4 linked regions of the Saccharomyces cerevisiae S288C genome follow. Changing the gene in region 1 together with any one later gene gives a genetic interaction. Each region holds a gene or a part of one and is shown on either strand. Other genes may lie near its edges. The genes, in order: AFT2, MIT1, IME4 and PUT1.

What was found.
Region 2: mutations in AFT2 (region 1) and MIT1 impair growth when combined (synthetic growth defect), as found in Saccharomyces cerevisiae (one large-scale study listed by BioGRID).
Region 3: of AFT2 (region 1) and IME4, changing one enhances a phenotype caused by changing the other (phenotypic enhancement), as found in Saccharomyces cerevisiae (one study listed by BioGRID).
Region 4: mutations in AFT2 (region 1) and PUT1 together harm fitness more than expected from each alone (negative genetic interaction), as found in Saccharomyces cerevisiae (one large-scale study listed by BioGRID).

What each region holds. Positions count from the first base shown.
Region 1 is NC_001148.4:167,588-171,491, reverse strand, and holds AFT2 (Aft2p), read left to right. Parts: upstream 1-2,153; coding exon 2,154-3,404; downstream 3,405-3,904. Other genes in the region: CSM4 (Csm4p), read right to left, coding at 1-8; YIG1 (Yig1p), read left to right, coding at 337-1,722. UniProt on the Saccharomyces cerevisiae protein: Transcription factor required for iron homeostasis and resistance to oxidative stress. With AFT1, activates the gene expression in response to low-iron conditions, also called iron regulon.
Region 2 is NC_001137.3:140,079-145,203, forward strand, and holds MIT1 (Mit1p), read left to right. Parts: upstream 1-1,813; coding exon 1,814-3,814; downstream 3,815-5,125. Other genes in the region: YEL008W (uncharacterized protein), read left to right, coding at 434-814; YEA6 (NAD+ transporter), read left to right, coding at 4,249-5,125. UniProt on the Saccharomyces cerevisiae protein: Transcriptional regulator of pseudohyphal growth.
Region 3 is NC_001139.9:138,680-147,110, forward strand, and holds IME4 (mRNA (N6-adenosine)-methyltransferase), read left to right. Parts: upstream 1-3,566; coding exon 3,567-5,369; downstream 5,370-8,431. Other genes in the region: GCN1 (Gcn1p), read left to right, coding at 1-864; YGL194C-A (uncharacterized protein), read right to left, coding at 1,040-1,282; histone deacetylase HOS2, read right to left, coding at 1,689-3,047; YGL193C (uncharacterized protein), read right to left, coding at 3,237-3,548; COX13 (cytochrome c oxidase subunit VIa), read left to right, coding at 6,129-6,518; protein phosphatase 2A regulatory subunit CDC55, read right to left, coding at 7,130-8,431.
Region 4 is NC_001144.5:421,507-429,628, forward strand, and holds PUT1 (proline dehydrogenase), read left to right. Parts: upstream 1-3,679; coding exon 3,680-5,110; downstream 5,111-8,122. Other genes in the region: SLS1 (Sls1p), read right to left, coding at 36-1,967; RRN5 (Rrn5p), read left to right, coding at 2,177-3,268; DPH6 (diphthine--ammonia ligase), read left to right, coding at 5,823-7,880.

The sequences.
Region 1 (3,904 bases):
TCCATCATTTTCTAGTTCTTCTTCTGCAATATTGCCTTTTGGGAAGAAGGATCGAAAGTAGCCATTTGCAGACACGTTTTTACTATATTTACTGTATCTTCGATTGCGCGGCTAAAGTTGCCATATTATTATTATATTGCAGCTCAACCCCGCATTTCCGGAGTTTTCTTTTTTTTTATTTGGGGTAATTTGGAGGTCGGCGGCTATTGGTGGGCCGGAAATGGTGACACACTTGTAATATATAAGGAGGAAATCCTACATGTGTATAAGCGAAATCACAAGGATAATAATGTATTGCTAAACACCCTCAAGAAAGAAAATAATCATAACGAAATCATGGGTATACCTATGCAAATATACCAGGATGGGAAGGGGGTGCAATTTTACCACACGAGATATCAGAACGTATTTGACGAACGGGCGAGCAAGTATGGCAACTACACGGTGAATAATGATTACCCACAGCTTCCAGATACGATAAAGGAACATATCGACCAGCTTACCTTTAGCAATGTCGGAGAGGATGGTGGAGATGTTGGAAACTATTCTGAAGAAGACGATGATGGTGACGAAGAAAAGGAACTTGAAGATGTTTTTCGAAGTAACCGTGGGTTGGAATTTGTACGGATTAATAACTATTTTACTACCCACGATTTACAAAGTTTCAAAAGTTTTAGAAATTTCAATAGCAAGTACTGGATTTTTTATTCTAATCAAGCAGAGGACAAAAAATTACTGCTGTATGACTTTAACGGCCAACATTTGATTTTTATTAAGCAGCAATTTTACGGGCAGTTGAATTTACTGCTATCGGACGCAATAATATGTATGGACTGCAATTTTGGTTATAATTCAAACACCATTCAAATTTTAGTTGGATTTCAGAATGGAAAGTTGTTAAAGCTAAACTGCGACTTGAACGGAAACGTAAACAATCACTTGCTTTTGAAGGATCCTTCAACTTCCTCTCATCAAAGCCACCTATCTATATTAAATGTCTGGGCAGGTTTGTTGCCACATTTCGTTGTTTCTTTTAGTTTGAAAGATGGGCTGCTAATAACTTCTTTAGATCACCAACAAAGCAATGGAAGTTTTCAAAGTTTCCATACCAACATTGATTTGCCTGTAGATCTACGCACGACCACAAATGTCAAGTCCGTTTTAAATTTCCCTCAGTTTACTTTATACAAAGGAAATGATATGATTTTCCACTGCAAGAATCTATTAGGATCGGATGCTTCCACGCTAAACAAGGAAATAAACTTTATGCTTAAAATAGACGAAGACGTTCAAAAGATCGACTATCTTCTTAAAACGAATCACATTTTACTCGAAACCAACATGAGATATCTGTCCATTCCAACAAGAGACCCCATAGAGAATTCAAATTCTTCTCCACCCGTCTCAGACAGCGAGGTTTATCCAATATTTTACAAGACACAAGAACTTCATGTCCATGCTTCAGGAACAGGACGTCAGATAGCAAACAATGGGAAGTATATTTTTATAACCGAGCAACATCTCTACGGAACAGCGTTATCGGTATACAAGTACTCTATATCTTTCAAACGGTGGCTGTTCGTGGGCTACTCAGACATTAGGGCCAAATACGGTATAAGGAGTGTCAAAGATCTCTTTGTTGGTAACTGTCCCTCTGTAAATAGCCCAGTGCTGACAATTCTTACTGATGACAATAACATTCAAACAATTCTTCTTAAATAAAGGTTAAGGAAATGTAAATAAAAAAAATAACAGTGACATTAATTTGTATATATCTCAACTTCTTCACTTTAACCTGTCTGAGCTGTTTGGTTTTGAACTGGAAGCACGTTTCTCATTTTATTGAACGATACCAGAGCCATTCATTATTCGATTGACGGTAAGCGGTATTGTGCGAAAAGCAAAGGGAAAAAATAGAAAGAACAAAAAAAAGAAAGAAAAAAGCACCGTAAAAAAAAAAATCGTTTCGTGGGCCGAGATCGGTAAAGTGGCTTTCTTTTAGTCAGAATTGATTTTCTTTTGATTAAGGCAAAAACTGTGCAAATTAAACTGATGGACCTATACATAATAGTGAACACGACTCATTCAAAAAATTTGTTGTAGTGACCAGAAACTCTGGCGCAAATTAATCAAGAGAAAGCGACCCCCAAGAAATGAAAGCAAAGTCGATGAAGAGCATAATATCTGTGCCAATATCAGTGTCTAAAACAGGGAAAATGAAGTTAACAGCATCTCCCGATAATCTAGCATCTATGATGTCTAAAGACCAAAATAAACTTATTCATTTAGACCCAGTTCCGTCTTTTGAGGACAGGCACGAGATTAAACCGTGGCTACAGAAAATATTCTATCCTCAAGGAATAGATATAGTCATCGAAAGATCAGATAGTAGCAAAGTTACTTTTAAGTGTAGGTCAGTACGATCGAAAGTAGGGTTGAACCCTAAATCCAAAGGTTCCTCTTCAAGATCCCATGCATGTCCATTTAGAATTAGAGCAGCCTACTCTGTGCGGTTACAGAAGTGGAACGTGGTTGTTATGAATAACATACATTCACATGAGCTGAGATTTGATTTGATTACTAAAACGGATGACTATAAAAAGTTTAAGGAAAATCTTCGTCAGAAGAACGACGAAAAAGCCATCAAAACATTTGATGAATTAGAATATAAAGCAAGTCTAAACTTACCACTCGTCACACCAATTATTTCTTGTGACTGTGGGTTAACCAAGGAAATTGAAGCTTTCAATAACATTTTTCTCCCACTATCAAACCCCCCTTTGACGTCTAAAAAAAATTTGCTCAAAACAAATAAAAACTCCGTTTCTAAAATAAAATCCAGACAGATGGATAATTCGAAACCTAGGCCAAGGTTGAAAACGAAGTTGGATGCGGATCTACATGATACCGGATTTTTAGACAATTTCAAAACGCGGAATTCCTGTGTAAAGATAGAGAAAGAAGATTCTTTAACGAACTTAAACGAAATTGATTTTACGAACATGTTTTGCAACGACAATTTCATCCAAAATTACAACCAAGGCCTGATGGAACTTTTGACAGAACCTACACCAGGTCCTTCGTCCTCTTCTTGTATACTTCCTTCAACACCAACGAGGCCCTTGTCACAAAGCAAAATGGATATAGCCCTGTCAGAATCAACAACATCTTCACCAAATTTTATGGAAACAGACGCTCCTTATGGAGATGAGATCATTAAAGTTTCCAAAGATACCAAAAGCAACGCACCAACTGCTGATACAGATATTGCTACGAACTTAGGCAAAGAGAGAAACGAAAATTTTGGCATGTTAAACTACAACTACGAAGCGTTGCTTCATTTCAACGATGAGCATTTTAATGAATTAAATTCTATTGACCCAGCCTTAATATCAAAATATTAATTATTTAGTTTTCAACTCATTAAAACGGTATCACGTTTAAATATGTGACAAGATCTGATGGACATGAATAATGGTGATATCAGCACCATCGAGGGATTTTGGACCTTAGACTTTTTAAAGCTACGGAGGACTTAAAGCATGTCGATACAAATAAGATATATCATGGCTTCATGCGCTCAAAAGTTTTATTCTTCAAGTTTGTTGATTATAATATGGTTCACGTGCGCTTCATCTTTTCATAGGTAATGCACCGCAACATTCAATTATCTAAAAAACTTTCAGGCGTGCCGGTCCCCTAATTTTTGCACTGAGATCATGAGATCAGTAAGTAAAAGCTCATATAGGAAATAATCATATAGAAAAAAGCAGAGGAATGATATTCGAACATTTTCTATACATCACCCCTCCTATTTTTAGATGAATCTCTAAGATCTAAATGCCCTCAACTTAAATATGATATTGAATTAAAATGAATTGTAGTATAGAAGATATTTAGGGCA
Region 2 (5,125 bases), on another chromosome or scaffold:
TAATAATCTACTTTAAAAACAAAATATAATCGGTTTAGCAAGCCATTTTTCAATGATCTTTAATTTTTTAATACGATACTGATAATAACTTAATAAACTGAACTAAAATAAAATATTTTGTTTTGATTGCGAAGTAGATGAGTGAGCTGTGTGGCTGGTGAGTTGTATAATTCGCTAGTGAAACTGATGGGCAAAAAAAATTTGAATTTAGGGGGGAGAGTAACCTGTGTTGTGAGTTTTTGTTTTGTTTTGTTTTGTATATCTATTATATAAGAAGATAAGTACTGTCAAGAAGTAGAAGATTTTAAAAGGTAAGACAGCGAGCCGAAACTTCTTTAAAGAAGACTAAAATTTCGGAATTGGAAAAAAAGGTTGGAGTATTTATCTTCCGTATTTAAAGTCGGAAATTTTTCATCTTTTTTTTTCAAGATGTATGCTCATGCACTTTATTCCCCGAAGATCTTCGAAAGCAGTTCAATTTAATTGGCTGGAGATTGGCGTTTGGAGAGGCGGTGTGTATGTCAAGAAAGGCATTGTCAACGCCCGGACAAATAATTCTAATTTTTACAAGATGCCGGTGGTGTTCGGCATTGTAAAAGGTATGGGTGCTTTGTGCGTCCACGCATGGGGTATGGGGTATGGGGGCATCATCGATTGTTCTCCGGTAACGGAACACGGCAATATTTCTGTTCTACAGCTTGAATACATGCCGTGGATCTGTTTATCAAAGATAATGTCATGTAGCGTGGCAAGTCGACACAGCAACGTGTGGATAATGGATGAGACGATAGCGCCACTGGTTGGTTGTTTGTAAGCTTCGATTGGTAACAGTGGGCTAAAATAGATTGTAGTTATACCCCCACGTTTGCTGGGTCTCACGATCCATATCAGACTGCCCGCGTGGGGTTAATTCTGAGGTGTTGAGCCAGCCAACTCAGACGTTTTGATGACGAAGAACAGAAGATGCAAGTCTTCTACGTATGCAATGATCTGTCCAACTCACCGAAACAAGAAAAAATTTTGCGTTTTTTTTTTCCTACAAATCCCCCATTTATTCGGAAGGTGTGGGTGGAGGCGTAGTTTTTTGTTTATTTTTTCCCAATTTACGTAGTCCCGCAGGTCGGTTTTCCTCTCAGTCTCCGTACATTTCTTATTTTTTACGTTTAAAGTTCGTTAACGAGGCAAAAAATGGCCTGTCTTCCTCCTTTTCCGCCGGCAACTGTAACTGTAAACTGTAAAATTGTAAGTGTAATTGTAATTGTAACTGTAATTTTAACGCTGAATTCTTGCGCGCTCTCGTTGGTTACTATCTTTTCTTCTTAATCGAAGTGTGTACAGTTATGTGCCGTTTGTTTCAATTTGGCTGAATCTTCCTCATCTTGCCCCTTCTTTGGTGTTTTTTTTGCGCAACTCAAAACCTCGTTACTGCATCAAATTTAAATTTAAGCTAGAGAGAAGGTAGTGAGAAAGCTATTTTGTTTATTTGTATTTTTTCGTTTCCCGATCGTTTCCCTTCCATTTCTGTTTTCGAACCCTTTTATTTTCTATCTGTGAATTAGACAGCCTGTTCACCGGTAGCCTTTTGATTGTTTGTTTGTCTTTTTTAAGATTATCAATATTATTTAATATCTCGCCTCAACTATCGACAATATAGCCTATTTTCTTCTCTTTTTTGGTCCGCCTCTGTTGTACGCCATTTCTATACTGTGTTACTAGGATAAAATAAATACCTGTACTGCATCATCTTTCCTATCACCATCTTTTTCCACAAAACAACATTTCAACTAGACACAAGGACAACGTAAATTTCTAAATGGATATCGAGCCTACTTTCAAAGGGTACATTGAAGATGAAGATGACGCTTTGCTTATTCTTCAAGCAACTTTGGATGGCAAGTTAAAGCATATACCAAGAAGGCCTTATGAAATAGAAAGACCTTATTTGATCGTATCAGGTAGTATATTCGTTTTTATTGAAGAGATATCGGGCATCAAGAGATGGACTGATGGCGTTTCTTGGTCTCCATCAAGAATATCAGGCAAGTTTCTAATATACAAGGAACTAGACAAGGAAAACGCCGGGTCTAATGCTAATGCTACTTCGAGTGGCAGTACTGATTCCGCCGTCATTACGGATGGAACTTCTGGCGCGAGAAATAACCCTTCTTCGTCGAAAATCAAGCTACCTCCTTTGAAGAATCACCAGTTTGATTTGCCACCTACTATGGGCCATTCAAGTTTTGAGTCAGAGCAAGACACCTCCATTTCTCCATCAAACCGTTCGAACTTACCTTTAAAGTATACTGGCCTGGTGAAGAAGACAATATCTGTGAAGCTGAAGAGACCTCCATTCAACTCGATTGAAAATTTACATATTGTCTCTTATTATTCTGTAAAAGATATAAAACAAAATTGTCTAGTGACTCCTAAAGCTTCTCCTTTTTTGAAAGATGTTAGACCTTCACAGGAACTAATTGTCGCGATGGGAAATACAACCTTAGGCAACGTGAAAAACAATTCCACTACCACCGGTAATGGTCCTAATAATATAAACAATAAAAGCAACTCTTCCACTCCCCTGAATACTGTTATTTCCACGAATAACAATAGTGCTAATATAAATGCTGCTGGCAGTAATCAATTTACTAGTGCAAACAAAAATTATTATTATAAAAATGATGAAAGCTCTGGATACCCAATCACTCAATTTGCTCCCGCATTACCATCAACAACTTTGATGTATACGGCGAATCCACCTTATATCACTCAATCTCCTGATAACACTAACGCTACTGGTATGAATACACATGTTAATAATAACAATAATAATAGTAATAACAGTAGTAATAGTAATAATAGTAACAATAATAATAATAATAATAATAATAATAATAATAACAATAATAATAATATTAATAATATTAATAATGTCAATACTAATGCAGGGAACGGTAACAATCCAAATAGATTCCATAACGCCTCTTTTGCTTATAACACCACCGGTGACTTTATTAATCCGCAACAACAAGGACAAATTTCTTATCCATTTTATTATACAACAATTCCGATAAACAATCCTAACTATTATACCACACAACCTCCAAACCCTGTAACAAACGCTTCAACGAACGAGAATCAAGGCTATTCCACCTCCTCAACTCAACACCCTTATTATGGGCATCCTACTGAAAGTCAATCAGCATCAGCAGCCGCAGGCGCTACTGGCACTCCTGGTACAGCCGAGAATGTCCTTCCCGTATCCAGTATGCAGCCACTACTCCATCAAGCCAATAATAATAGTGCAAGCTCTGCTACCTCTACAGCTCCTTATCCGGTGTATTCTATGAATGTGAATGTTCCTTATTACAATTCTTCTGCTTCTGCATACAAGAGGGCACAAGAAAATACTACTTCAAATACGAATGCAGAACCTTCTGGTGCTACAAGCACTAACTCAGGCACCATGCTATCAAATCCTGCATACGCTAATTCTCAGTACACTCCATCGCAAGTGTATTACCAGGGATTCCCCCAATATGCCATGGCAAGTGCTCAAAATCCGTCTATGTATCAACACCAGCACCAACATCCTTTGCCCACTGTATATCCAATAGCGACGCCTCAACAAAATATAATGAGCTCTGGTCACACTTTGAGCACTATTGGATCTGATCCTCAACATCATCACTATCAACAAGAGCCCAACGACCACAAAAACTTCGCTATGGGTCACGCGAACAATAATATCTTAAACATCACCAATAATGATACGATGAACAACCTCAATACAAACACTTCAACTACTACACAATAAGTAAATATATTTTAAAAAAGTACTCCGATTTTCTTTTCTTCTCCTTGCCTTTTTGAGTATCGGGTTTACTCATGAAAATTATATCATTTTTCATTTTACAGTTTTATATACTTCGCTTCTTTACGTAATCATGCCTTTAATTTCATCTTCATTTGCCTATGGAAAAAAGCTATTCCTTTTGACATCATAAAATATCTTTATTAAAGAATCCCCTCTGTCAACATTTTCTACGAAAGATAGCTTAGTGTATTTTTTGAAGATGCTGTCGAAAATGATTCTCGACATACTCGCGCTGGTGGAAAAATGAAGTGGAAAAGATAAGCAAATTGATATATAAGCAAATAAACATATAATTTGGACGTACATCGAAATTAGTTGTTCTCAACTTATTTTCATTGTTTGATGAAAAGCGGAATATACATCACGGCTATATAATGAATAATGGAGACAATAAAACGACATTAGAAAACTCAAAAAATGCGTCACTAGCTAATGGAAATTATGCGATTCCCACAAAACTAAATAGGCTGAAAAAGAATGCTGACCCTAGAGTTGCTGCAATTTCAGGTGCTTTATCTGGTGCACTATCCGCAATGCTGGTCTGTCCTTTTGACGTTGCGAAAACAAGATTACAAGCACAAGGTCTCCAAAACATGACACACCAAAGTCAACATTATAAGGGGTTTTTTGGTACATTTGCTACTATTTTCAAGGATGAAGGTGCTGCTGGGCTTTATAAAGGTCTACAGCCGACGGTTTTAGGTTATATTCCTACTTTGATGATTTACTTTTCCGTCTATGATTTCTGTAGAAAATATTCGGTCGATATTTTCCCACATAGTCCGTTTCTCTCAAACGCTTCTTCTGCAATTACTGCAGGTGCCATCTCTACAGTTGCGACAAATCCGATTTGGGTAGTAAAAACAAGACTTATGCTGCAAACAGGTATCGGTAAATATTCCACCCATTATAAGGGTACCATAGACACATTTAGAAAGATCATTCAACAAGAGGGTGCTAAGGCTCTTTATGCCGGCTTAGTACCAGCCCTGCTGGGGATGCTGAACGTTGCTATACAGTTTCCTTTATATGAAAATTTAAAAATAAGGTTCGGATATTCAGAATCGACTGACGTATCGACAGATGTGACGAGCTCAAACTTTCAAAAATTAATATTGGCCTCTATGCTATCTAAAATGGTAGCATCTACCGTGACTTATCCTCACGAAATACTTCGAACTCGAATGCAACTGAAATCCGATCTTCCAAATACTGTTCAACGCCATCTCCTTCCATTGATTAAAATTACGT
Region 3 (8,431 bases), on another chromosome or scaffold:
AGCAATGACAAATTGGCAGTTGCTTACGCTAAATTAATCGGATCGTTATCAGAGATTTTGTCGAACGACGAAGCCCACAAGATATTGCAAGACAAGGTTTTGAATGCAGATCTAGATGGAGAAACCGGTAAGTTTGCTATTCTGACTTTGAATTCCTTTTTGAAAGATGCACCAACACATATATTCAATACGGGCTTGATAGACGAATTTGTAAGTTACATTTTGAATGCAATCCGTTCCCCTGATGTTTACTTCGGAGAAAATGGTACCATTGCTGCTGGTAAATTACTTTTATTAGAAGGAGAAAAGAGGTCTCCATTTGTTAAAAAGGATGCTGCAGAACCATTCAAAATTGGCGATGAAAACATCAATCTGTTAATTAATGAGTTGAGCAAAGCTGTCTTACAACCAGCCAGTAATTCTACGGATGTAAGAAGGTTGGCCTTGGTGGTTATAAGAACACTAGCCAGATTCAAATTTGACGAGTGCATTAAGCAATACTTCGATGTAGTAGGACCATCTGTATTTTCTTGCTTGCGTGATCCTGTTATCCCAATTAAGCTCGCAGCAGAAAAAGCATATTTAGCTTTGTTCAAATTGGTTGAAGAAGATGACATGCATACTTTCAACGAGTGGTTTGCTAAAATTTCAGATCGCGGTAACAGCATCGAAACTGTCACAGGTACTACAATTCAATTACGGTCTGTTGGGGACTATACCAAGAGGGTTGGTAAAAGGTTAGCAAATGTCGAAAGAGAAAGGATTGCTGCCGGAGGAGACGCGGAAACAATGTTTAGTGACAGATTTGAAGATGAAAGAGAAATATGGGCTGTCGGAGGTGTTGAATTAACCACTGATATTTGAAGAAAATTCAATGTGGTAACCTCGTTACTTTTTGTATTTGATATATTATTCTCGTTATATAATACATACCACATAATGATATAAAAGACAAAGATATTTTGAAGTCTTCCGCTGTGCATAAGGGTTATTTATATATCTATTGCTCCCAGCATTGTAGCTAATAAGGGCTTGATAATTATTCGTACCCGGATTCATAATTGTCAACTAACTGCCAAACCCAGCGCTCTAATAGTGGCGAGACTTGCCACCACATCATATCGTTACGATCTGTATTGGCGATTCCTAAACACCAAATAACTGTCGACTTTAAATAGCGTCTCAGAAATAACTTATAAGAGAGGTTTATTATTAGAACTATCAATAAAATTAGAGCAATAATTTTAAACGGTTTGATACAAGTTATCTCTTTATTAGACATAATTGTCCAGATGTATTACATGAACTGAGTGACTTGCTCTAATGTTGTAGACACTGATGTCCGGTTTAATTAAGAAAGATTTTGGAAGTTTCACGATATCGATAATGCTGCGGGAGAAGCTTTCAAATTATAAGAAAAGGCTTTTTTTTGTTGTTTTCAGAGTAGTTTGGTGACTTGTCCGTTTCAGAAGTGTCTCGAATACGGAGTGCACCTTCCAAAAATGTTTCTGACGGCATCGAAGAGCCGAACTCTTATACAATACATGTCATTTTTAACAATGATGCAAATAACTTTTAAGGCCTTAACACTCTACATAATATGCTAAAAACATTAAAAAAAAAAAAAGGAAAATAAAAAAAAAAAAAAAAAAAAAAACGGGAGATTAACCGAATAGCAAACTCTTAAACTATGAAAAGGCAATCAATCCACTGTTTTCTTTTTCCATTTCTTCTAGCCTATTTGAACTGTCTGCTTCTGTTTCTTCATTCATTTCTTGAATGATTTTATCCTCTTCTTCTGTCAGGGCACTTATATCTTGTGTCGGTATGCATTCAGCATCCATTCTGACACTTGGTGCTCCTTGCAAGTATCTGATATTTTCTAGACATCGTATTCTAATGTCTTCCAGTAGTTTTTTACTGTTTTTGTTTTCGTATAAGTCATCTAACATAGGATAAAGTGAATAATCCGGCCCGAATGAGTCCCGGAATGGGATATCTTCGGGGATGTCTTCTGGTAGCAAGACATCATTTAAAATTCCTGTCTCGTAGGTCCAAAGCCGTGATACATTTCTAGGTGTATAACCTCCACCGCCCACTACTAGCATTGGTAGACCAAATGATTTGACAAATTTTACGCATTCTCCATGTGCCTTTATATTTAAATTGAAGCATCCTAAGCGATCATGACCTAAGGAATCCGCACCGCATTGTTGGACAATAAGTGTTGGTTTGAAAGTCATTATTAGAGGATCTACAATTGACTTGAAAAGGTTTATATATGAGTCGTCATCTATGCCATCTTCTAGGGGTACATTTAATGCGAAATGTTTTCCTTTGTCGCAACCAATTTCTGTCAGATCACCAGTTCCTGGGAAAAATTCGCCATTATATTTATGAAAAGACAACGTGAAGACCCTATCTGTGGTGTAAAATGCCTCCTGGACACCATCGCCGTGATGTAAGTCGATATCGATATAAAGGATTCTTGGGTGATATCGTAATAAGTTCAAAATAGAAAGCACAATATCATTTACATAGCAAAACCCAGATGGACTATTCTTTTTTGCATGATGAAGACCACCAGACCAATTTATCGCTATGTCCGATTGATTGTTGATTAGTTTCCTGGTGGCGTCAAGGCTCGCACCAGTGTATAGTGTTGTATAATCATATAAATTTTGAAAAATAGGACAGTCGTCTCCAATGTTAAAATTTTCAAGTGTGCCTCTGGGCAGTTTGTTTGCATTTTCTGGTGAAACCTTCGAGAGAAAATTCACGTAGTCTTCCGAGTGAAATTGTAGTAATTCGTCTCTGGTAGCGCTTCTTGTTTCATAAAGGTCCATAATCTTGTGCAATCCATAAGAGGAAACTAGGTGATCCGTTAGCATTAACCGAAACGGCTTCATTGGATGCTTAACACCATAATGGTAATGTGAAACTTTGGAGTTAAAATGATACGATACCCTGGGAGAATAAGCAGAATTAAACTCAAATAATGGTTCGTTCTCCTTTGTTTTCACATCATAACTAAATGTTCCAGACATGTTGCGTGTTGTTATTCACTTGATACCTGATTTTAACGTACTTGAGTAATCTGGCGTCTTTTCTATAACTGTACATTGGCGACACACCTAAAACTGATTAGAATCGTTTCAAGATGCTTTCAGTTCAACATTTAGTAACATAGTAGGAATATCACGTTTAACGATGCCCCAAAGAACATCGAGAATCCTCTATATAGAGTATAAACAGGGCATTCTACATTGGTATAGAGGTGCCTTAGGTATATAGTGGTACCGGTCACATAAATTGACGGGAATATGCGTCTTTAGGCGGCTTTTGGCGTACAGTATTGTTCTTTCTTTCGTGCTTGTGAAACTTGTTATAAACAAAGAAAGAGAAAGATCTCCCCGGCATTCTGGAAGATCGGTAACCGCTGGAGCTATAGGAAAGGGAGATGGATAACAGTAAAGAAAACGGACCATATAAGTTAGCATTGGGGGTTTTCGAAAAAAATAAGAATTGGCATTCAGACTTGAATTCATAAAAGTTGTAAGCAGGCTATGATTAACGATAAACTAGTACATTTTCTGATCCAGAATTATGATGACATCCTAAGAGCACCGCTTTCTGGACAGCTCAAAGATGTGTATTCACTGTACATCAGTGGCGGATACGATGATGAGATGCAGAAGTTGAGAAACGATAAAGACGAGGTCTTACAGTTTGAACAGTTTTGGAATGATCTTCAGGATATTATATTTGCAACGCCGCAGTCCATTCAATTTGACCAGAATCTATTAGTGGCAGATAGGCCAGAAAAAATTGTTTACCTGGACGTTTTTTCCTTGAAAATTCTCTATAACAAGTTCCATGCCTTCTACTATACATTAAAATCGTCCAGTTCTTCATGTGAAGAAAAAGTGTCGAGTTTAACAACAAAACCGGAAGCTGATTCGGAAAAAGACCAACTGCTGGGTAGACTGCTTGGAGTCCTGAACTGGGACGTTAACGTCAGCAACCAGGGGTTACCACGTGAACAACTGAGCAATCGCTTACAAAATTTATTGAGGGAAAAACCATCATCTTTTCAGCTTGCTAAAGAAAGAGCCAAATACACGACCGAGGTCATTGAATACATCCCGATATGTAGTGACTATTCGCATGCATCTCTATTGTCCACCTCGGTGTACATTGTCAATAACAAAATCGTTTCTTTACAATGGTCCAAAATATCCGCATGTCAGGAAAATCACCCAGGATTAATTGAGTGCATTCAATCAAAAATTCACTTTATCCCTAATATCAAACCACAAACTGATATTTCGTTAGGAGATTGTTCCTATTTGGATACCTGTCATAAATTAAATACGTGTCGATACATTCATTACCTGCAATATATTCCGTCATGCTTGCAAGAGCGAGCTGATCGTGAAACTGCGAGTGAAAATAAAAGAATACGGTCAAACGTTTCCATTCCATTTTATACTCTGGGCAATTGCTCCGCACATTGTATCAAAAAGGCTTTACCTGCACAGTGGATCCGTTGCGATGTGCGGAAATTTGATTTTAGGGTTCTTGGAAAGTTTTCGGTAGTTATTGCAGATCCTGCATGGAATATCCATATGAACCTACCATACGGTACTTGCAACGATATTGAACTATTAGGTTTGCCTTTGCACGAACTACAAGATGAAGGTATTATTTTTCTTTGGGTGACGGGTAGAGCTATAGAATTGGGTAAAGAGTCTTTGAATAACTGGGGTTACAACGTGATAAATGAAGTTTCATGGATAAAGACAAACCAACTGGGTAGAACAATTGTTACAGGTCGTACGGGTCATTGGTTAAATCATTCTAAGGAGCATTTATTGGTGGGCTTAAAGGGTAATCCAAAGTGGATCAACAAACATATTGACGTCGATTTGATCGTATCAATGACCAGAGAGACTAGTAGAAAGCCTGATGAACTGTATGGTATAGCAGAACGGTTGGCAGGCACCCATGCCAGAAAACTAGAGATATTCGGAAGGGATCACAATACGCGGCCTGGCTGGTTTACCATCGGAAACCAGTTGACAGGAAATTGCATTTACGAAATGGATGTCGAGAGGAAGTACCAGGAGTTTATGAAGAGCAAAACTGGAACCAGCCACACTGGTACTAAAAAAATCGACAAAAAGCAACCTTCAAAATTACAGCAGCAGCATCAGCAGCAGTATTGGAATAATATGGATATGGGGAGTGGTAAGTATTATGCTGAGGCCAAGCAGAATCCTATGAATCAAAAACATACTCCCTTTGAATCCAAACAGCAACAAAAACAACAATTCCAAACACTAAATAACCTATATTTTGCTCAGTAAAGCGTTAAATAATCCTTTTAAACATTAATAGCATTGCATAAAAAAGATGGTCATAAAAAAGACTGCAGCGGGAAGTAAATGGTTTCCTGGTCTGTATTAGACAAACTTTGGAATAGAGAAGGATATGGTTTATGTCCAATAATTATTATCCGAGTCCGTGTATTTTTTTACATCAACTGGAACAATTTATTACCCGGATGTTTAAAAATTGTTGTCGCCTGGAGAAAGCTAATACTAGTTCTGGCCATATTTTCAACCATTAAACACTACTAATGTAATTACTTGACTTATTTGCTCCCACTCTTGGTCGGTTCTTTCCCATGGCGCATTCTACCATTCTTTTTTTCTACTCCAATCGTTCTTACTGGAAACTGTGGGAATAGCGAAGAACGACTATTATTTGCTAATACAGAGTAAGCTATCCTGCTGAATAGGTAGACGATAGTAGTAACCCAACGCCGCTATCCTTTCGATTATACCGCTATGAATGTAGTGATATGGTGCGGTATTGACACAATATAGTAATTTCGGGTAATTTTTTTTCCCACCAATGAGAGGCGGTACTGGGAGTATCGGTCTAAGAGAATCGAAAAATAACCCCCAGCTGGGATGTGATCACGATGAGTGACGGGATACATTAAATATAACAAACATACACGTTGCCTTGAACGTTTTCACTACACATCGCATGTGTTTTATCTAGATTTAAAATCATATTACTACAGTTCTACAGTTATACAAATAACAAACAATAGAAAAATGTTTAGACAGTGTGCTAAGAGATATGCATCTTCATTACCCCCAAATGCTTTGAAACCTGCATTTGGCCCACCAGATAAAGTGGCAGCTCAAAAATTTAAAGAATCATTAATGGCCACTGAAAAGCATGCGAAGGACACATCTAATATGTGGGTTAAAATCTCAGTTTGGGTCGCCCTACCAGCAATTGCTTTAACAGCTGTGAACACATACTTTGTTGAAAAGGAGCATGCTGAGCATCGTGAACATTTGAAACATGTGCCAGACTCCGAATGGCCAAGGGATTACGAGTTTATGAATATCAGGTCTAAGCCTTTTTTCTGGGGTGACGGTGATAAGACATTATTCTGGAATCCTGTTGTCAACAGGCACATCGAGCACGACGATTAATTAATTGATTAAGTGAGAATAAACTTTTCGAAAAATTTTTATTTATGATAATTTTACTAATTCTTACTTATTTCTTTTATATTCGATAAAAAAAATTCAAAATAAAAAAAGATTAATCCTTTGATAGGAACTAAAGGTACTAGGTATTTTGGGCGGCGAAGCATCATTCCGTTCTTAAACATCTATATATATATAATTATATTGCAAATGTATAAGCATTTAAAAACATAAACATGCACCTATGAAGAAGAATTTAAGACGTTTTATTTTTATGTTCCACGCGTTTTGGTGAAGTGATGAAAGAAGTCCTGATAAAGGGATGTCGGATTAATAATTGATACAGTGTTTATAAGATAGCTAATCAGAAAAAAAACGAAAGAAAATGGTATAAGTCTCAGAATAATGATAATAAAACACGCTTGAAGTAGAATAAAAATATAAGTAGAGAAGATAAAATAAAAAAATAAAGATAGAAAGATTTTCAATGAGGGGCAAATCTAAATCTAAAAAATTTGAATTCAAGTTCAATTTAAATTTCAATTAAAACAGTAGTAGTATGTGGGGAAGATATGGGATAAAAAAAAGTAAGGGAAAATAAGGAATTATTATAATTATAATGCGGAAAAAATGAATAAATTATTAGTTGCTGCAACAGCAATACTATTTTCTCTTGGATGCCATGAGAAATGTAAAATATTCTTCTTGAAATCAATATCGTCACCCCAATCCTTATTTCTTGCAGACCTTTGCGCTAGCGAACCGTATCTTTTGTTCCTGAACGCTGTTTTGTCAGCTTGTAACACGATTTCATTCATTTCGGTTCCCGAGTCCTCCGAATTTGCTCCTTCTCCTCCCGCTATACTGCTTCTAGAGCTATTACTACTTCCCACCATGCCTGTGTTGCGTCCGTTACTCCTACGCTTGTGGCTGTTGCCACTACTACTAGAATCTTTATTTTGTATGCTGTTGTGGATATTTTTATTGCTGTTGCTATTAGGTGCGTTGTGTTCATCAAAAGTTTTGACTATGCCATTATCATTATCACCAGAAGTTACTACATTAGGATAGATCATGAAATTGTTATTGTAAGAACCAGTCATTACACTTGAACTATCACCACTAAAATTAACTTCAAATTTATCGAAAATCGCATCGTTTTCATAGGTATCACTCAATCTTTCCTTCAATTGCTCATGTATGTTTATGGTTTTCAAAGGCTTATTATCCATATTTACGTCCCAAATTTTGACAGTTAAATAATCTCTGGATGCAATATACCTACCATTTGGACTAAATTTTATGTCGGAAATTGACGACGTGATTTCTGTAAAAAAATTATGATTGATTGGATCCAAATATTCTTCAAATGTTTTGGTTTTATTGTCACATAGGGAATTTTGTCTCATATCACACAACTTTATTGTACCTTTGGAAGAAGAGTACATGAATAAATTACATTCTTGCGGATGAAATTCAGCGCTTGTGATCACTTCGGTAAGTTCTTCCATATTGGTTGGCTTGATATCTACGATGTTGAAGCTCTGATCTGGTATGTCCAGATTCCATAAATTGATTCTCAAGTCGTCAGCACTTAAAAATGTTTCCTGATCAGAATTCAACGATATCGAATTAATGTGATAGGTATGTGCATTACTATATATACGCTTTGGGGTGGCAGCAATGATTTTGTCATGCTGTGATAATTGAGGCAGTTTCAGCGATTGTAAAGATAATACAGCCCTCACGGAGCCTCCTCTACTGTTATGGTTATCGGGCTTGCCTTTTTTCGCAAACGTAACCCCTTCTGTTAAGTTGTTCTGGCTTACCAATTTTATATTTTTCTCATAAACTTTCCAAAGTTTTATAGTTTTATCATTTGTGCTCAAAAGAAAGTGTGATCTTTGAGTTGGTCG
Region 4 (8,122 bases), on another chromosome or scaffold:
GTATGCGGTTTTGTCATTACTCTTTTCCGTTAAACTTAAAAGCTTAAAACATCATTGATAAAGGTTTTTAGTGAGGTTTCACTGGGGTTCACATTGATGAAATCTAATTGTCTGTAGGAGCCATTGTTCAAAAATCCGCGGCTGATATCTGAATATTGAATGATGTATTTATCATCTTGGGCAGTGTTCGTAGGAAATCGTAAATTCAAGACACGATGGGTCAAAACATCAGTCAATTGGTATTGCTGTATTAGGTTATCTGGTAAAGAAATGTTGATTTTTTTCATAAGATTCTGATATTTGTTTAACTTCCAGTGTGACTTGAGAAGAAATTCTTGGAGGCCTTTTTGTTCAGATAACCAAGCATCCGGATTGGTCTGGTCGAAATCAGGTAAAAGATCTTGAATGTAATCTGACGTGATCTTATAGTCTGTCTGGCATTGTGGAGTTCTTAAGATAACAGAATTTTCTTGTAATTTCAAAAGAGGCCTCATTGAGGTGGTAACAATGTTATCGAATTCGTCAATCTCGAACCAAATCTGCAAAAAAGGGGACGAGGAGGAGCCAGAGGTGGGCGGCACAGGAGTGAAGTTCAGCTGTATGAAGGATTGATGCGCATTTGTTATTAGATGTTGATCAAGAGGCACAGGCACAGGTACGGCTGATGATGATGATTCTTTGTACATTGGTAGATTCAGTAATTTTGAAATAAAACTCTTATGTATTAGAGGTTGGAAAATACTAGAAAAAGACGCGGACTGTAAGGAGTGACCTAGCGTTATTGATAAAGATTGGGAAATAGAGTCGGAAGGGGAGAGAGATGGTATATTTTTAGACAAGGAAGATTCGAATTGGCTGACCTGCGCATCTGTCAATTCTGGTGTGGCGTTTTCAGTGGGAGTCATCAGATCTGTGCAATTTTTAGGGACAACTGACTGTAATCTTGCCCAATCTTGTGACTTGTTTAGCCAGTCCAAGTTCTCTAGAGTATTGTTGAACGGATAGAGTTCTGTCTTGAGTGCTGGTGAGGCTATTGTGTGGTGGTGTTGAGTTGTGTTAGGATTAGAAGCGACGGCATTTAATAAAAAGACTTTGGCCATGGATATTTTCTTGGTGCTTAGGGCTGAAATCTTGTACATTTGCAAGTCCGGGAGGTATTCAAAAAAAGTGTGAGTTTCCTTCTGAATAAGGTTGATGACGTCTTTTGATGGCATGAGGGAATACATACGCACATTTTCATGAGTGATGTTTGACCATATTTTGTTTAAGGATATTTCTGCGTATTTGAGCAAGCTAGGCGAACCCTTGACGGTCAATTCGTTATCCTGAATGGAGATGATGAATGTCAGCCCGAGCTTATTGAAGTTGGTGAGTATTTTACCATTTTGAGTGATGAGTAAAAGGAAAATTTCTCTAGGAGAATCGAACTGGAAAGTCAATGATGTGGACTTGATGCCTGTGGGAGTGGTGGGTGTTGAAATTGGTTGGCAATTCCAGATTTTTTCAATTATATATTGGGACAGCTTGCTTTTCTTCCAGTGCGTCAGATGTGAAGAGGAGTCTGGCTGATGTGTGGAGATGAACTCGCGCAGTTGGTAGCGATTGTAGCTTGATGTAAGCGATTGGAGAAGGGCATTGTATTCCAGGGAGGGCAGACTGGCGCTTGTCGGTTTCTTCAATCGGATGGAGTTCAATGCGGAATCTAGTGAATTCTGCTTTTCGAAGACAAGGAGTTTCGAGCCGAAATCGAGGTTGTTATCTCCAGTTTCCTTATGGCTACGTTTCTTAGACGGCCTGTGTCTAGGCTGCTTCTGATCATTTTTCACTAGCCCAGATTGGGTAGGGTTCAAGACGACGAATTTCAGATTTTGCGGCAGTTTCTTCTTCCCATGAAGGGGCGAGCTTGGGCCTGAGCTTGAATAAAGACGGTAAGTAAGACGGGCGAGCTTTTTGTTGAATTTCCACATATGCTTACTCTATATTTTCTCCAGTGCCTTCAAGCTCCGTATATATTATGTACTAGTTTTATTACATTAAAGATACATAACTTTTTTTTTTTTTTTCAGTTCACTGAAATAAGAAAAGGCGGGCGAGGTGAAAAACAAAAAAAAAAGTATAGAGAAACAGAAGTGGAAGAAGAGCTAGGAAAGCACAGCGCATACGACGGTCACCTAGGATGGAGCACCAACAATTGCGGAAGTACGTCGAATTGTACAATAAGGAGGTCGAGGAATTCTACAATGGTGCCGCGTCAGGCCGCCCAGCTGAGTTCCATCCTTCCAAAGTACATGTAAAGAGCATCCATGAAAAGGCGGGTACCGCCAATGCTGGTGTAGAAATCTCTAGCGTTGGTGTAGACTGGGACAGCGAGGAGAAGAATACCTTTTTCTGGTGCCTTTCACGCTATAGTATCCACCGTGTAGACGAGTGGCGCTCATTGTTGCCTCGGAAGAGCGCCATGGAGATTCTAGGTTATTACAGGTTGTTAAGGAGAGCGAGTGCGAGCGCGAGATCGCGTAAGGCGGGTGACGACGGAGCGCCCATTGCGTACGAAATGAGCGCTGAGTGGGTTGCCCTGGAGACAAAACTGAGCGAGACAGTGATGGCCATCACGGAAGGCGCAGCCGAGGTTGCCGATGAGGAAGGACACTGCGAGGGCCTTATCGATTATGAAAGCTGGAAACGCAGGTGGGTGGCCATCTACTCGCACAGCCGTATCGCGGAGATAAGACCCTTGCCCCGCCACGCGCTGCCGCTATCGCGCAGCGCGACGCAGACTTTGGAGCGCTGCGTAAGTCGCTACACACGTACATTGCTGTGGTGCACGGCCCTTGCGGGTATGGCTTCCCGCAGCGTCAGCGCCAGGGCGGCCGAATCTCGAGGACACAAGTCGCTACCGACGGTGGTAACTCGCCGGCAAGTTGAGCGTGCACTATGCACAGAAGCCCGATCACGTGACCTACACGTGCTTCCAAGGCGCATTGTTTTGACACTGCGCAAATGGGAACTAGACTATCCGCGAGAGGGCAAACTGTTCCGCACCAAGGAGATGGCACATCTGTTTCTACAAAGCCAGTTGTCCAGACGGGATGCGCCCCCAGTCCATCAAGACGAAAATCAAGAAAATCAAGAAAATCAAGAAAATCAAGAACAAGATAACACTGCAAGTGAAGGTGAAAGCGAGGCAGAAAGGGATGAAATCGACGAAGCGGACTTGTTCCGATCAGCATTACATGAAAATCAGTTGCTAAAATGGTTATCCAAATGAGACACAATGCGAAAAATCGCGCAGGGACATAATTTTTGTTTTCATTATTCTTTCGCTTATTCCCTCCGTTAGCTCCACCGCTTTTTTGATTGGAATTTCCTTTCGGCAATGGCTTTCCGGTTACCACGCCTCGGGTTTCGCATCCCGAAAAGCATATCTACACAAGAAAAATGAATGATAAACAATTGATGAGTGGCGCTATTTCCCTTATCATCTCATTATTGTACTTAGTATCGTCTATTATCAGGAGAAATCGCATGAACTAAGCCCATTTTCTCACCCTTCTGCCTTCTTATATAAAGCTTGCTGGGAACCGAACACAAACTCCACAAGTCCGTAGCAGCTCTTCTCTTTTGTCTTTTATATATCATAAACATCGCTACATAGTAATAACACTAACGCACGCTAGAAATGATAGCTTCCAAAAGCTCCTTATTAGTTACTAAATCGCGCATACCCTCTCTATGCTTTCCTTTGATAAAGAGGTCCTATGTGTCAAAGACTCCGACACACTCTAACACGGCTGCTAATCTGATGGTTGAAACTCCGGCCGCCAATGCCAACGGCAATAGTGTGATGGCACCTCCTAACTCAATCAATTTTCTACAGACACTTCCCAAGAAGGAACTATTCCAACTGGGATTCATCGGTATTGCGACCTTGAACAGCTTCTTCCTGAACACGATCATTAAGTTGTTCCCTTACATCCCCATCCCAGTAATAAAATTCTTCGTCTCTTCTTTATACTGTGGCGGTGAGAACTTTAAAGAGGTCATCGAATGCGGCAAACGTCTGCAGAAGAGAGGTATATCGAACATGATGCTTTCATTAACTATTGAAAATTCCGAAGGTACAAAGAGTTTGTCCAGTACTCCAGTAGACCAAATTGTCAAGGAAACAATCAGCTCTGTCCACAACATCCTACTGCCCAATATTATTGGCCAGCTGGAATCTAAGCCAATCAATGACATTGCTCCAGGTTATATCGCTCTAAAACCCTCTGCTTTGGTCGATAACCCTCACGAGGTTCTGTACAATTTCAGTAATCCCGCCTACAAGGCTCAAAGGGATCAGCTGATCGAGAACTGCTCTAAGATTACAAAAGAGATTTTTGAACTAAATCAATCTTTGTTAAAGAAGTACCCTGAAAGAAAGGCCCCATTTATGGTTTCCACTATTGACGCTGAGAAGTATGATTTGCAGGAGAATGGTGTTTACGAATTACAGAGAATCTTATTTCAAAAATTCAATCCCACTTCATCTAAACTGATATCATGTGTCGGTACTTGGCAGTTGTACCTAAGGGACTCTGGTGACCATATTTTGCACGAATTGAAGCTGGCCCAAGAAAACGGCTATAAGCTTGGGCTGAAACTGGTTCGTGGTGCTTATATTCATTCTGAAAAAAACCGTAACCAAATTATCTTTGGCGATAAAACGGGCACTGACGAAAATTACGATCGTATCATCACTCAAGTTGTCAATGATTTAATCATCAATGGCGAGGATTCTTATTTTGGTCACTTGGTTGTCGCCTCTCATAATTACCAATCCCAAATGCTCGTTACTAATTTGCTAAAATCTACCCAAGACAACTCTTATGCCAAATCGAACATTGTGTTGGGGCAATTACTAGGTATGGCAGATAATGTTACCTATGACCTAATTACCAACCATGGCGCTAAAAACATAATCAAGTATGTCCCATGGGGCCCACCATTGGAAACTAAAGATTATCTTTTGAGAAGATTGCAAGAAAACGGGGATGCTGTGAGATCTGATAATGGCTGGCCATTAATCAAGGCCATAGCAAAGTCGATTCCAAAAAGAGTAGGCCTATGAGAGGACTATAATATATACTCCAATTTCAAAGACAAACCAAAAAACCAAAAAAAAAAAAAAGTATGCATACATAATTCTGATGTTCTAGTTATACATATTATATATAAGTAATGATAATAACACTAATAGTAAAGTAAACGCACGGATATCAAGAGTTAATATACTTGAACCACTTAAATAACAATCTGTTGGTAAAGCTTTCTTCCTATTGATTATGGGTTCGAATAGTACCAGATGTTTTGCCAATCCTAAATCGGTAGGAAAGTGGCTTGTCGTCGTCAGGCTTATTATCAACTCTTATGCACAAGAAAGGTACTCATCTTCTATAAACTACATAAGACCTGAATCTAATCAAAGGGAGAAAGCGCAGAACATCAGATTTAAAGCGGTTTTGCTTGATACACTCAGCCTTGTCTCTTTGTAAGGATTTTGGGGTACCTATGAATAATACATCTAGTAGTGTTAGTAAACCAACGTATGGGATTTTGGGATACATAGTTTTCCAGTGTTTCTTATCCGTGATAGTTTAATGGTCAGAATGGGCGCTTGTCGCGTGCCAGATCGGGGTTCAATTCCCCGTCGCGGAGAATTTTTTTAAGCTTCTATTAAAGAAGCTTTTTTTCACTTATATCTGATGGATGATGAATAGCTAGTTCAAACGGAAATCTTTGATAAAGCTATATCAAAATTCAAAGCCCAATAAGTCAGTATCATGAAGTTTATAGCATTAATATCAGGTGGGAAGGACTCGTTCTACAATATTTTTCACTGCCTGAAGAACAACCATGAATTGATTGCCCTGGGAAATATATACCCAAAAGAATCAGAAGAGCAAGAATTAGACTCTTTCATGTTCCAAACAGTAGGACATGACTTAATAGACTATTATTCTAAATGTATTGGTGTTCCACTATTTAGACGCTCAATATTACGGAACACTTCTAACAACGTCGAGTTGAATTATACTGCTACTCAGGATGATGAAATTGAAGAACTATTTGAACTTCTAAGAACTGTCAAAGATAAAATTCCAGATTTAGAAGCTGTTAGTGTAGGTGCCATCTTATCGTCTTACCAGAGGACCAGAGTGGAAAATGTTTGTTCCAGATTGGGTCTAGTAGTGCTAAGCTATTTATGGCAAAGGGATCAAGCCGAACTAATGGGTGAAATGTGCCTTATGTCCAAGGATGTTAACAATGTTGAAAACGATACTAATTCAGGAAATAAATTTGACGCCAGGATAATCAAGGTGGCAGCAATTGGATTGAACGAGAAACATTTAGGAATGTCCTTGCCTATGATGCAACCGGTGTTACAGAAACTTAACCAACTTTATCAAGTTCATATCTGTGGAGAGGGTGGGGAGTTTGAGACAATGGTCTTGGATGCCCCTTTTTTCCAACATGGATACTTGGAATTAATTGATATTGTCAAATGTAGCGATGGTGAAGTTCACAATGCAAGGTTAAAGGTAAAATTTCAACCGCGTAATTTGAGCAAAAGTTTTTTACTCAACCAATTAGATCAATTACCTGTACCTTCGATTTTTGGTAATAATTGGCAAGATTTAACCCAAAATTTGCCAAAGCAACAAGCTAAAACAGGAGAACAAAGATTTGAAAATCACATGTCGAATGCTCTACCACAAACGACAATCAATAAAACCAATGATAAGTTGTACATCTCTAACCTACAATCACGTAAAAGTGAGACGGTCGAGAAGCAAAGTGAAGATATTTTTACTGAGCTAGCCGACATTCTGCATTCCAACCAGATTCCACGGAATCATATTTTATCTGCGTCATTATTAATTAGAGATATGTCTAATTTCGGAAAAATCAACAAAATATACAATGAATTTTTAGATTTGTCAAAATACGGACCTTTGCCACCATCAAGAGCATGCGTAGGTTCGAAGTGCTTGCCAGAAGATTGTCACGTACAGTTATCAGTTGTTGTTGATGTAAAAAATACAGGCAAAGAAAAAATCAACAAGAATAAGGGCGGACTACATGTTCAAGGCCGTTCATATTGGGCTCCATGTAATATCGGACCATATTCCCAAAGTACTTGGTTAAACGATGATGCAAACCAAGTCAGTTTTATCAGTGGGCAAATCGGACTAGTACCGCAGTCAATGGAAATATTAGGAACACCTCTCACTGACCAAATAGTTTTGGCATTACAACATTTTGATACTTTGTGTGAAACAATAGGAGCTCAAGAAAAGTTACTCATGACATGCTATATTTCAGACGAATCGGTTCTCGACTCTGTCATCAAAACATGGGCGTTTTATTGTTCAAATATGAATCATAGATCAGATCTATGGATGGACAAATCTGATGATGTTGAAAAATGCCTAGTTCTTGTAAAGATTTCTGAATTACCTAGAGGCGCTGTTGCAGAATTTGGTGGTGTTACTTGTAAGAGATTAATAGTGGACGATAATGATTCCGACAAGAAAGAAAGGGAAGAGAATGATGATGTTTCAACCGTATTCCAGAAATTGAATTTGAATATTGAAGGTTTTCATAACACTACAGTTAGTGCGTTTGGATATAATAGAAACTTTATTACGGGATTTGTAGATAGTAGAGAGGAGTTAGAACTTATCTTGGAAAAAACCCCAAAATCAGCCCAGATTACCCTCTATTATAATCCCAAAGAAATCATCACTTTCCACCATCACATTGGATACTATCCGGTGGAGAAACTTTTTGATTACCGTGGTAAAGAACACCGCTTTGGGTTGCATATTCGTTCCTAACTCCAAATGTAGGCCTTATATTTTATAAACTTAATAGATATACGCTGTCCACGCTCCTGGCGGTGTAAATGATAGACAGATCCCAAATATGTTAGCAAATCATAGGAACAACACCATATTGTGAACACGTAAAATTTAGAATACGCCGCACAATTAAGGTGTGTTCTGTAATAATTTGATTATTGATGATGGTTTAGGAACCAATATTCATATAAAAAAATGATCATTCTATAAAATACCTT